2 linked regions of the Sus scrofa genome follow. The protein of the gene in region 2 interacts with the protein of the main gene of each other region in a pairwise test. Links are inferred from orthologs where the notes say so. Each region holds a gene or a part of one and is shown on either strand. Other genes may lie near its edges.

Evidence for each region.
Region 1: the proteins of CCDC172 (region 2) and HDDC3 interact in binary tests that used the Homo sapiens proteins (3 or more experiments, as listed by UniProt). The two-hybrid records come from large-scale screens. The link is inferred for Sus scrofa from reciprocal best matches to the Homo sapiens genes CCDC172 and HDDC3.

The regions. Positions count from the first base shown.
Region 1 is NC_010449.5:53,524,238-53,530,173, reverse strand, and holds HDDC3 (guanosine-3',5'-bis(diphosphate) 3'-pyrophosphohydrolase MESH1), read left to right. Parts: upstream 1-2,283; 5' UTR 2,284-2,298; coding exon 2,299-2,410; intron 2,411-2,716; coding exon 2,717-2,772; intron 2,773-2,873; coding exon 2,874-3,114; coding exon of another isoform or gene 3,115-3,140; exon of another isoform or gene 3,141-3,156; intron 3,157-3,409; coding exon 3,410-3,540; 3' UTR 3,541-4,190; downstream 4,191-5,936. UniProt on the Homo sapiens protein: ppGpp hydrolyzing enzyme involved in starvation response.
Region 2 is NC_010456.5:126,546,713-126,553,214, forward strand, and holds the start of CCDC172 (coiled-coil domain-containing protein 172), read left to right. Parts: upstream 1-2,399; 5' UTR 2,400-2,752; intron 2,753-2,909; 5' UTR 2,910-2,974; coding exon 2,975-3,053; intron 3,054-3,245; coding exon 3,246-3,331; intron 3,332-6,502.

The DNA.
Region 1 (5,936 bases), on a different chromosome or scaffold from region 2:
CCCCAGGTACTGGAACACCCTATCAGTGTTCCAGTGGATCTGGGGATGGAGTTCTTACCTGAGGATGGGAGGAGGTTCTAGGGCGGACAGATTGACCTGGTACAAGGCCTCAAATTCAGCCCGGGTGCAGCAGGAGCCGCCTGCAGCCAGCAGGTGGCAGCAGTAGGCTTCCTCTGGGGTATCCGTGAGCCGGGGACAGAAGAAACCCGAGTAGCGACGGCCATCAGCATCCCAGGAGGTCTGGCACAAGTGGGGGTAGTGGACCAAGGCTGAAGAGAGGGCAAGAGGGCTGGAGACAAGCAGCAATGATCTACCTACACCCCACTCCACCTCTTTCGGCGAGTGAAAGGGATCAGTCACTATCAGATGGGCAGGCTTCTTCCCTCCCAACCAGCTGCCCAGAGTAGCCCGTACCCTGCTAAAAGAGTGGGGTAACCAGCAGGGTGGTGAGCAGAGAGTACAGTACCTGAGAGAGAGGTCGGCTGGGCAAGCGTTGTCCAGCTGAAGAGCAGCAGTAGCCCCGTCGACAGGCCTGTCAGCAAAGAGCCTGGCCTCTTCTGAAAGCCCATGAGAGGTCACCTCCACCTTAGCCCTGGTCCTAGAAACCCCAACATCTCTATTTCTAAGCCCTGGCTTCAGACAGAGAGGAAATAAAAATCAAAGCCCCAAAGCACCATTAACACAAACCTGAAGCTTCTCTGTCACAGAACTCTAGAGAGAGATGAAAGTGACTTTCTATCTTCTGTTGGAAAATGCAGGGACTGTGGCTCCAAGCTGACAGGCTGAAGGGGAAAAGGCTCAGAATGAAGAATGAAAGAGAAGTTGAGCCGTTAGCCTGAAAAATAGACAAACAATTAGAACCATATATGTTTTCTCTCCACTCTCTCTCAATTTTCAGGCGGCAGTGGACGCCCTGAGAATTGATTGTTCCATTTCACGCCCCAGAGACCTTAGTTCCAGCATTGGGAGCCTCCCTCCCTAATATCTGCATCGTGGCAACCACCAAGACTAGCTGAAAACCAAGGGCGAGTGCTTTCACTAACTTTTCCCCTGAGCCCTCATCTGCCCCAGCTACCAGCCAAAGTACAAAAGCTTCCAGTATGACTGGAGGGAGTATACTTAGCAACCAGCCAACCCCATATCACAAGGAATGCTCTTCCAATGTCCCTAGGTCTGTCTTGGCCCTCATACATCATAGATGCTGTCTGCTGAGACATGGGATTTCTCCAGAAGGCCAAAGGCTCCCAGCAAACAGTGTTGTGTTGTTCTACTGAGGCCTGACAATGCCATGCTCCCAGAACAGCAGAAGCAACACTCCAGGGGCCTGGCCCAGTGGCTGGGGACTGAAATAGGAACCCTTATGGCACAAGAAACAAATGCAAATTTTTGTTCCCAGCACTTGAGAGCAAAGAAGACAGTTCCTGCAGAAACAGCACTGCTATTTAGACATAGGCCTGGGAGCCTAAGTCTGAAGTAATTAGGGAGGGAGTTCTCCCAGTGTAGGCCCCAATTTCCAGAAGGTCAGGTCCTAAGGCCTTCTGGCCCAAAGGTGAAGTTCCCATGCCCATAGCAACCAGGCCATCCTTGCAGGGAAAACTTTTTTTTTTTTTTTTTTTTGTCTTTTTAGGGCTCCAACCACGGCATATGGAAGTTCCCAAGCTAGGGGTTGAATCAGAGATACAGCTGCTGGCCTAGGCCACAGCCACAGTGACGTGGGATCCAAGCCACTTCTTCCACCTACACCACAGCTCACGGCAATACTGGATCCTTAACCCACTGAGCGAGGCCAGGGATTGAACCCGCATCCTCACAGATACTAGTCGGATTCGTTTCTGCTGAGCCACAACAGGAACTCCCAGGGAAAACAATTTTTAGAGAGCTTTGAGAATTTTCAGAGCCCTGACAGGTTGAAGATTATCTTTTCATGGCGGGAGAGGCCCAGTCCTGGGAGAAGCCGTCCCTGGCCGGGAGGCTAGGTGAATTGGCCTTCCTCCAAATTTTCATTGTCCCCTGCCTTCCTGCCCTGGACACACTTTGAGGCCACAGTCTTATACCTTGTCTGTTTTCCTCCTTCCCTTAGGCTCTGGGCTCCCAGAAGGCCAGGCTATATTATTCTGGCACCCTCAGCAGAGCGCCCTTAAGCAGGGGCTGAGATGCCTCCCACACCCACTTCTCCTTGCCCAGGATGTCAGCCCCAGAAGAACCCTGGCTCAGACTCCGCAATCCTCGGGCCTCCGCGGCGCCAGGGGGCGCTGTCCACGCCTGGTCCACGTTCCCCGGACCGAAGTCCCCCGCGCGATGGGTTCCGAGGTGGCCCAGCTGCTGGAGGCTGCCGACTTCGCGGCTCGCAAGCACCAGCGACAGCGGCGGAAGGACCCCGAAGGAACCCCTTACATCAACCACCCTATCGGTGGGCGCGCCGCCGGAGGAGCAACGGCAGCAGCTTCTAGGGAGTGGGATCCGGGAAGGGAACGCGGAGGGCGTATACTTCATTGAGCGCCTAGTCTGTACCAAGATTTGTGCCAGGCACTGTTCGTGTTTAAAATTCACAACAGCCGGGGGCGGTAGGCTTGATTGTTCCCTTTGTATGCGAAATAGAGTAAAGAACTTGCCCAAGGTCCCCCAGCTACTGAGGGGCCATATCTGGCTCTACAAACCCCACAACGTGCCGCCCTGGTGACTCCCTCCTGTCTGACTTCCTGCTTTGCCCCGTCAGGTGTGGCTCGGATCCTGACCCGTGAGGCGGGAATCACTGACATTGTGGTGTTACAGGTAACTTTCCCCCTTCTCTGCTAGGAGGCTGGGGAGGGGTTCAGGAGCCCCATTCAGCCCTGGGGCTGGCGTCACAGGACTGAATGGAAGCCTGTCCGCAGGCAGCCCTGCTCCATGACACGGTGGAGGACACAGACACCACCCTGGATGAGGTGGAGCTGCACTTTGGGGTACAAGTGCGGCGTCTGGTGGAGGAGGTAACAGATGACAAGACTCTGCCCAAGCTGGAGAGAAAGCAGTTGCAGGTGGAGCAGGCACCCCACAGCAGCCCAGGGGCTAAACTGGTGAAGCTGGCAGACAAGCTGTACAATCTGAGGGACCTGAATCGCTGCACCCCAGAGGGTACGCTCCCCAGCCCCCTGCTCTGAGGGAACCTCTGCACAGGTTGGTTAGTTCCCCTGGGGGAAAAAAAAAAAGTCTGGGTGTTCTTGTTAGTTCCCTAGACCAATCTTACTGGAGCACTCTGATCTTTCACACAGTAGATTCACAGCAACTGGGCCAAGGGGTGGTTTTCAGGACAGATCCTTCCATTAGGAACTCATCTCACAGCCCGGCACCAAACCCCCCAGGAAGTGGGCAAAATACACTACTGTCCTGAACGTCAACATGAGCAGTTTTTTGTCCATTCTTAATGCAGGATGGTCTGAGCGTCGAGTCCAGGAATACTTTGAGTGGGCAGCACAGGTGGTGAAGGGGCTTCAGGGGACAAACCAACAGCTGGAAGAGGCTCTAAAGCAGCTGTTTAAGGAGCGGGGACTGACAGTCTGAGCAGTACTAGGAGCCATCCGATGGTACAGACTCCATCCCTTTGCCCAGGCCAGAGAAGAGTCATGGTCCAGCCTTTCAGTGCCTCCTGAGCTCCCTCCTGGCTTTGCTCAGCCCAGATATTAGATCATAAAATACTTGTCTTTTCTCACTCTGAAGATGTCCTGCCAATGAAACTGAGCCCAGGTTGAAGGATGATGCACCCTGTCCTTTTTTTTTTTTTTTTTTTTTTTTGCTTTTGCTTTTTAGGGCTGCATGTTTAGCACATGTAAGTTCTCAGGCTAGTGGTGGAATTGGAGCTGTAGCTGCCAGCCTACTCCACAGCCACAGCAACATGGGATCTGAGCCTCATCTGCAACCTACACCACAGCTCACAGCAATGGGGGATCCTTAACCCACTGAGCAAGGCCAGGGTATTGAACCCACAACCTCATGGTTACTAGTCATATATGAACCTGCATCCTCCTAAATACTAGTCGGAGCCACAACAGAAAGTCCCACCCTGTCCATTCCTAATGCCGTCAATGTCCTCCTGGCCTTGGGTCTGTTTCTTGTTTTGCCTGATGGGCTATCAGGCCCCTCAGGGACTTGGGCTTATATATATATAAATGTTAGTTGGAAAGTCATTATGCAAAATAAAGCCTTTAGATAAAGCTTTGTGTCTGTGCTGCTCCTTCTCCTGCCTCCCCAGTGGGGAACCAGCAGGGCAGGGTTTCAATATGCATGAGGCCTCGACCCCTCAATTGCCAGGGTTGGATTACTTGACATGCCTGATGGGCCCTGAGATTTAGGTGCTCAAAACCTGGTAGACGTCCTGGGTGGAGAGGCGTGCTAGCCTGCTTACTGACAGCTCTTCTGAGCCCAGCAGCAACGTGATAGGGCCGTTGAGGGGCTGCGGGTCCCTCATAGTCCCGGTTGCAGTGTAAACTTGCCAAGGTTTGCAGCCATCCCTAGGCTCATCCCTGGTTTTGTTGGTTACTAAGCGATAGGAATTTCTGGATGCCTGAGGAAGTCCGCCCCCGGACCTGACCCACCTTTGGAGACAGGCGGTAGGCGGGGTCTGGGAGGTGGGCGGAGCTCCTCAAGGCGTCCCAGCGGAAGGATCAAGGAGTGTTGGTGGGGTTTTGGTAGCTGCTGAGCAGCTGAGGCTAGTAACCCACTTGGAAAGGGTAAATCTTGGAGGTTGAGGAGGTTATTAGCTAAAAGGTGATGTTTTACAAACCCCTTCAGGTGTTACCTCATCTGTTCTTTATAATAACTGGATGAGATAGGCAGGATGGGGATTGTTCCCATTTTACAGAGATGAAATAGAAAGCTCGGAGAGGTGATCAAATAGACGGAACGAACAGTGACAGAATCGGGACCAGAATTCCTCTCTGTTTTGGCCATAGCGCTGGGTGTTTTTTTTTTTTGTCTTTTTTAGGACCACACCCGCGGCATATAGAAAGAAGTTCCCAGGCTAACAATCAGAGCTGTAGCCCCCAGCCTACCCAGGGCCACAGCAACACAGGATCCGAACCACGTCTGCAACCTACACTACAGCTCACCGCAGGCCGGATCCTTACTCCATGAAGCCGAGTCCTCAGGGATGCTAGTCAGGTTAACTGCTGAGCCACGACAAGAACACCTGCTGGGCCTTTTTCACCAGACTAGAATGACCACAACTGAAGTTAGCTCCAACCACACTGGACATAGTAAAAGTCTTAAGAAGCTAGTGGATCTGGATTATAAGTATGAGGCCTTCCCAGATAACCTGTTTGATCTGAGCCAATATAGTGGATTTTTTTATTCAATATCAGAATTTAAAAAGTTATTTATTTAAATCAGAAATTTATGGAAAGATCAGAAGTACAACCTAAGTAACCTTTTTCCCTGAACCACTCAAGGTTAACTTGCTAAACTGAGGCCCTATCACCCCTAAATACTTAAGTATTTAAACAAAGAAATTCTCCTATATAAACCAAACTATAACCATCAACATCAGGAAATTAATGTTATTACTATCTTAAGTCTCTGACGATAGAAGTCTGCACAATTTACAGCTGTTATATTAGAAATATGAGCCAAGGAGTTCCCGTCGTGGCGCAGTGGTTAACGAATCTGACTAGGAACCATGAGGTTGCGGGTTCGATCCCCGGCCTTGCTCAGTGGGTTAACGATCCGGCGTTGCCGTGAGCTGTGGTGTAGGTCACAGACGCGGCTCGGATCCCGCGTTGCTGTGGCTCTGGCGTAGGCTGGTGGCTACAGCTCCGATTCGACCCCTAGCCTGGGAACCTCCATATGCCGCGGGAGCGGCCCAAGAAATAGCAACAACAACAAAAAAAGACAAAAGACAAAAAAAAAAAAAAATTAAAAAAAAAATTAAAAATAAAATAAAATTAAAAAAAAAAAAAAAGAAA
Region 2 (6,502 bases):
CAGATGGAAAGTTTAAATCTGAGAATCATATGTGGGTATCATAATGCAAATAATTGGCTTTCTTTCTAAAGAACATCTGTTGAAACATCTGAAAGCAGTTGTTTATACTGCTGCCAAAATACTGAAAAATATAATAATTCTCCACTGAGGTTTGAAATATCTGGGGGAAGGAAAATACTTTTTATGTAGTTCTGTTTTTATTAAATCCTGTTGTTGTTTCTCTAATATGGCACATAGGAGATGCTCAATAATATTTGTTGAATGAATAACAGAGACTCATTAAACAGTTGTTGAATGAATCGTTTCTCTTTTTTTAGACTTGTAAGATACATTTTCAGAAAATAGAATGCCCTAGTTTTACCATGTCATATACCATTTTTATTTGGCATAAATTTAGGTAATGCTACTCTTGCTCTGAACATTATAGAATGGAATCAGCATGTATATCCACAATAAAAAAATCTTAACTCTATGGGAAATGTATGAATAAAGCTAGATATATGATAGGAATATTTTAATATCTTACTATGTTACTTTTACTCATAATTATGAAACACATAAAATTTGAATTATGAGCTTGCATAATCATGTTTGCTTCAATAAATAAAATTAATAAAACCCTTCTAATGCCTACAATTGTGGTACTTCTACGAAAACTCAAACTTGGGATTTAAAAGCACCAAAGTATTTTGGGATGTGAAGAAGACTACAGAAGATGAAGAAGGCATTTTTCCCCACACCTCTTTCCCAGATTTCTAGCAGCCTTCTCTTCCATATTCCTGTGTGAGAGAGGTGACTGGGCTCCTTAAAGTCTGCCCAAATTTCACTCTGCCAAGTTTCAGTACAGAAAGATCATGTTAAATAATAAATGTGAGTACAAGTATAACTAATAAAATTGGAATGTTAAAGAGAAGCATGCTTTTGAAAACCAGCTTCCTTGTGAGGGTGCTCCCTATGCACGTCCACAGGAAATAATTCTGAAGGGAGTGGTATTAATTAGTAATATAATTTATCTTTGGAAGCCCTTTCCTTTGATGGCTGCTGTGGCACAGTTCATAAGCCTCCAAACGAGTGCTCGAAGAAAAGGGCTCAACCACAATTTTAGCTTTGTTTTCCATCCTTGAACAGATAACAGAGTCAAATTTATTTCAATATATCTAAATTTTACACAGGCATCCATATGATGGAGGATTATGAAGTTATAAAAATGCATTCATGAAGAGTTTTCAATGAAATGGTAAAATGCTTGTGAAGTAATAAGAGGGGAAAAGAGCAGAATCCAAAATTAAATTCATGGTCTCTGATCTCAGATTTCTTGATTTCAGATCTTGCTCTGCCACCTACTAGATATGCAGCTTTGGCAAGATATGTGCCTGTTTCCTCAATTATTCTATGAAGGTTGTAGTAAAAATCATCTCAAAAGGATTGGTATCTGGCAAATACTCAATAAATAACAACAATTATTATTACTTCATCACAATATATTTGTAAAGAAAAAAATGCAAGGTGAGGAAGATTACTTAAAGAACAATAATCAAAATGTTATTAATATTTGCTTCTGAATGGGCAATTTATGGGCAATTCTTTTCTACTTCATTACACTTTTCAGTATGTATTCTTTCACAATAAAGTTTAAAAATTAAGTTTTCTGTATACATGGCTTGACAGAAATTTAAGAGGAAATTTGAAAAGGTTAACATTTCTAACTGATTATGCTACAGCATTAATAAAATATTAATTAAGTTTATTATACTGATGTGACAGAATTTATATTTATCTTTTTTTTGCTTAATACTAAATACATTTTAAAAGTTTAGCCAATGTCAATTTAACATTAAGATACAAAGTCAAATGTTTATTATACTCTTAATATTTTGTTCTGTTAAAACTAAAAGTATTTTATTTTTTAATTTAAAAAAATCCCATATCAAAGTCCCAAAGGTGCCTTTCATGTTTAAGCTTTAATTAGCAACCACTTTGGTCTCTGACACATATTGCGCAGATACTGTAGTGTTAATATTACTGCAGCTTGATTACAAAAGGCAATGATTAATTTTAAAGCAGACAAAAAAGATCTGCCCTGATTACAAAGGAATGATTAAGGCGAATGTCAGACACTGCACATTTATAGCAATCTTTCCCATCGTCAAAGGATAAGACTTTGCAAAAGTCTATATTTAGAATCACAGGTACTTTGTACTTTATAATCCTGGGTTTGATCCTTGGAGACAGATCACCCCAACTCCAAGCTCGGCCTAAGACCTTTGAGGACCACATGGCCACAGCAAAGCAAAGCAAAGCAAAGCAAAGCAAAGCAAAGCAAAGCAAAGCAAAGCAAAGCAAAGCAAAGCAAAAGACGCGAATGCGCAGTGGACCCAACCGGACGCCGTAGTTTCAGTTCCCATCTGCTCCGGCCAGCTTGAGGCGCTGTCCGCGGGCTTCTGCGAGGTCTGCAGCCCACAGTATAATTACAAGTACAGGTTTTGCTAAGAGGTGGAGTATTTTGAGGACCTTTTCCCTAAAAGGGAGGGGGCTGAAAGGAAAAGGCGGACCACAGAAAGGGCTGCCGTCCAGACCACTCCGAAGCCGAGGCCTTAGGGCCTCCATTTTTTTTGCCGCCAGAATAAAGAAACCCGTCCAGGCTCCTGGGCCTCGGCGGAGGAGGGCTGCGCTCAGTCCCGGGAAGTAGCAGTTTGAGACAGGTCACAGGCGAAACGAGGGCGCCGGGGAGAAAAAAGCGGATTTGTCCCTCGTAAGAGATGAACCGGGGGCTGGGAGCACGTTTCGAGGCGCTGGGAGCTTCCCGTCAGCCCGCGTGGGGCCCGCCCTTGGCGAGGGCAGGGCGCAGGTCGCGCGAGGCCCAGCTAGGCATTGTCCTGGAATAATCCTTTATTGTGCTTTCTTTCCAGGATCCTCAGACTCGGTTATAAAATATTTAAGAGTGAAAAAGGGATTGGCGGGTGCCCGGCCCGAGATGAGTCTGGAGTCCTTGTTTCAGCACATCATCTTCTCTGAGCACCGGGCGGAGGAGAGTCGCCGCTTGCTGCGAGAAGGTCGGGCGTTTGCCTGGGGCCCTGGGTCTTCTTGGGTTGGGGGCTTGGAGCAGAAAGAAATGCCCAGGCCGCGGACAGAGCAGGGGGTCTGCTTTCCACGTCGAGGGGAAGACAGCTGCAAGGTGTCTTATCACAAGCCCTGAAATGGGGACTCCAGAAAGATGGATGGATGTTTAAGCATTTGTTTTACAGTGAGGTCGGAGATAAACAGATGTCGTGAAAATATTAAGAAAGCGGCAGAGGAGCTGAATGAAGAGAAAATCAAGTTGGAATCTAAGGTAGTAACATACACAGCATGCTCATTATCACTTGAAAAAGTGTTTTCACTCGACTTTTGGAGGATACTTTACTGTTTAACTAATTGTCCTTCCATTATTATTATTGTTTTTTTAATAGGAAGCGTGCTACCATGCCAGTTAGTGTAGTTACATGTTGTCTGGTAATAAAGTTCTGAATCCAGAACTTCCATCCTAACAAGAATTTGTGCTAAAGAAACCAGTTTAAGTAAAGAATTCATTGTGTTGCAGCATGATTAACGTTTCAGAAGAGCACAATGCCATTGGGAAAAGAATAATTCAATAAGTAGTTGGTAAGGGATATAAATTTTGAGTGATAAATAATTTAAGAAGTGTGCTGTGTTGATGTAACAGTTGAATGTAACTTTCCGATGAGTGTCTGCCTTTTGTTTTTCAACTCTCTACCACATTTTGGACATGTCTTTCATCCAAAAGGATAATTTTCCCACTAGCGTTTCACACTTGGCTGCAGCATTTGTAAAGATCTGTTATTTGAAATAGAAGCAAAGGAATCAGATGACTTCTTGAGGGAGGATTTTGAAGTGTGGGTAGGATTTAGGAGAGTGGTAGGTGAAAAGCATTTGAAGCAGGGGGAGAATGTGAACCAAAGGGAGACATGGCTGAGGCATATTGGGAGAGAAATCTCCCAAAGCAGAGGGCTGATATCTGGAAATAGGAGGAAACCATTGTAGGTTTTTGATCAGGGAATGGTGTGATAAAAGTGGCTTTAGGAAGCTCTCTCTGAGCTCTGGGAGAATGGGAACTAAGAACATCATCCAAATATGTCACAATAAAGGCCTCACTATGGGTAGGGGCAGACTGTCATACAAAAATATTTATTCAACTCCTAAAGATAAACTCTGCTGCAGTGTGCAATGGGAAATCTGTTTGAGAAAGTCTCTTTGCTAAAATAAGTCAAATCGACTTACCACTGTGAGAAATTTTCTGTTCTCTTTTTGTTTAAAATAATCATAGATTCTTTCTCCACCTGGCAGGCTTCTTCTCTTCTTCCTTTCAAGACTTGTTTCAACTTCACCATGAGCCCTCCCTTGTACATCTTGGAAAAATTTTTTATCATAGCATTCGGGGTACCACAACTAAACAGTACATACTTGTGTTCATATCCCTTATTATCTTGTGAGCAATATATTTGGATTTTTTAATTTTTATTTTATTTTTTGGCCATGGCTATAGCATGCGGATATTCCCTGGCCAGGGATTGAACCTGTACCACAGCAGTGACAACACTAGATCCTTAACCCACTGAGCCACCAGGGAACTCCTAGAATTTTTTTTTTTAACCATTAATTTTATTCCTACAGCCTGTATTCAGTGCCTAGCACATAGTATACATTAGTGTTTTGAATAAATTAATGAGTACTCATAGGGAGATAATATGGAGAGTGTTGTCTTTTAAAATAGAATTTGGAAATATTATTCAGTGAAACTCTTGGTCCTGTTTTGCCTGTGAGTAGCAGATAAACTAGCTGCTACCAGCAACACTGAAAGCTTATGGCATGAAGAAAGCATTAAGAATGTTATGATTTAGCTTAAATTTTTCCTTAAAAAGAATTAAGATACTTTCGGGATTGGAAACTATAAATTAGTATAATAGGCAAAACATATGCAATGAGGTAATGTATAGCTAACACTTATTGAGCACTTACTGTATGCTGGGCACTGTTCTAAATGCTTTACTTGTATTAATTCCTTTAATCCTGCCAGGAATCCTGTGATGAGGTATCATCATTAATCCCCTTTTTGAAGGCAGGAAAATGAGAGGTTAAATGACTTATCCATGGTATATAATTTTAAACAAACTACAGGAATCAAAGTAATAATTGAATGATGACAGCATATTTTATTAAAGCAGTTTTTTTGAGCTCATCTTAAACTTTTTTCTCTGTGAAATTCACATATACTAGTGTATCTGAAGCTTTTGCCTCTGGTCTAGGGCAATATTTTTTAAAGTTTACTTATGTAAGTTTTCGTACAGATGTATTTTTCCTGGACTGGCGAAGATATTGACCTGGCAGATAACAAATGTTAAAAAAATTTTACTCTTTGAATATCTTCTTTGAAAAAAGTAGATTTACTGTTGGTAATATTTTCTTGGTTAGCAGCCTATTTTGCTGAAAATGGAAATGTAATTTGCTGATATATACACATGCATGCAAGAGTTGATTCACTGTTTATTCTTGAGAGAAGACAGAGCAAATCCCTAGCATTGTTTAGAAACATATGCTGGAATTATAATTAATATAGGCTCATAAATGTGCATTGCTTTTTAATCAGCTCATATATGTGGGTAGCAAAGCAATTGTTGTTTTACTAATAAAATTAACTCATGAGGTTCACAGTTCGTACAGTACTAATTTGCAATTGGAATAACTTGATTTATGATATAGTCAACATGGAGTATGTGTGTGTGTGTATGTGTATATAAATATTTTAAAAGTAGAGTCACAGTTACAATGTAAATGACTAATGGGAAGAACTGAACAAGTAATCATAAATTGATTTCTTGTTTCTTTTATTCTTAGAGTTAATTATATGTCTGCCAATAACAATGAAAATATATTTACTTGAATATTTGGCTTGGCATTTATTGACCAATTTATCAAGTAGAAGTAGCATAAATAGAAACTAGAACACAATTTGAATAGTCTAGTGCTTGAGCTATTTCAACAGTGATACATTCAGAAAATATTTGGGGCATTTATTTCGGAAGTTACTTATGGTCAAAAAAATGTATTTAGGAAGTATAGTACTCATTTTTTTTTTTTTTTTCTGTTCTGTAAAACCCAGGTAGCATGTAATTAGAACTTGAATGATAGCATTTGCCTTTCAGGGCTCGATGAGTCCTTTAAAATATATGGTTGCAAAAGTCTCAGATTATATAGTATGAGTACTTTGTGAATTGGAGAGCATGGTGTGCCTGGTTGGGTTTGGTAATATGAAAACAAAAAGATGAGAACATGCCCTAGCTTTGTATTAATGCTTACCAGTATACCTAAAGTTTCTGATCATCAAGGAAAGATTTTATAGTATCGAAGACAGAGAAAATCAAAATTAAGGACTCATAGAATATTTATTATTTCTCTTAAGCATCTAAGAGTTTTTCCTATTAAAAATAGCATATAGTTAAAATTA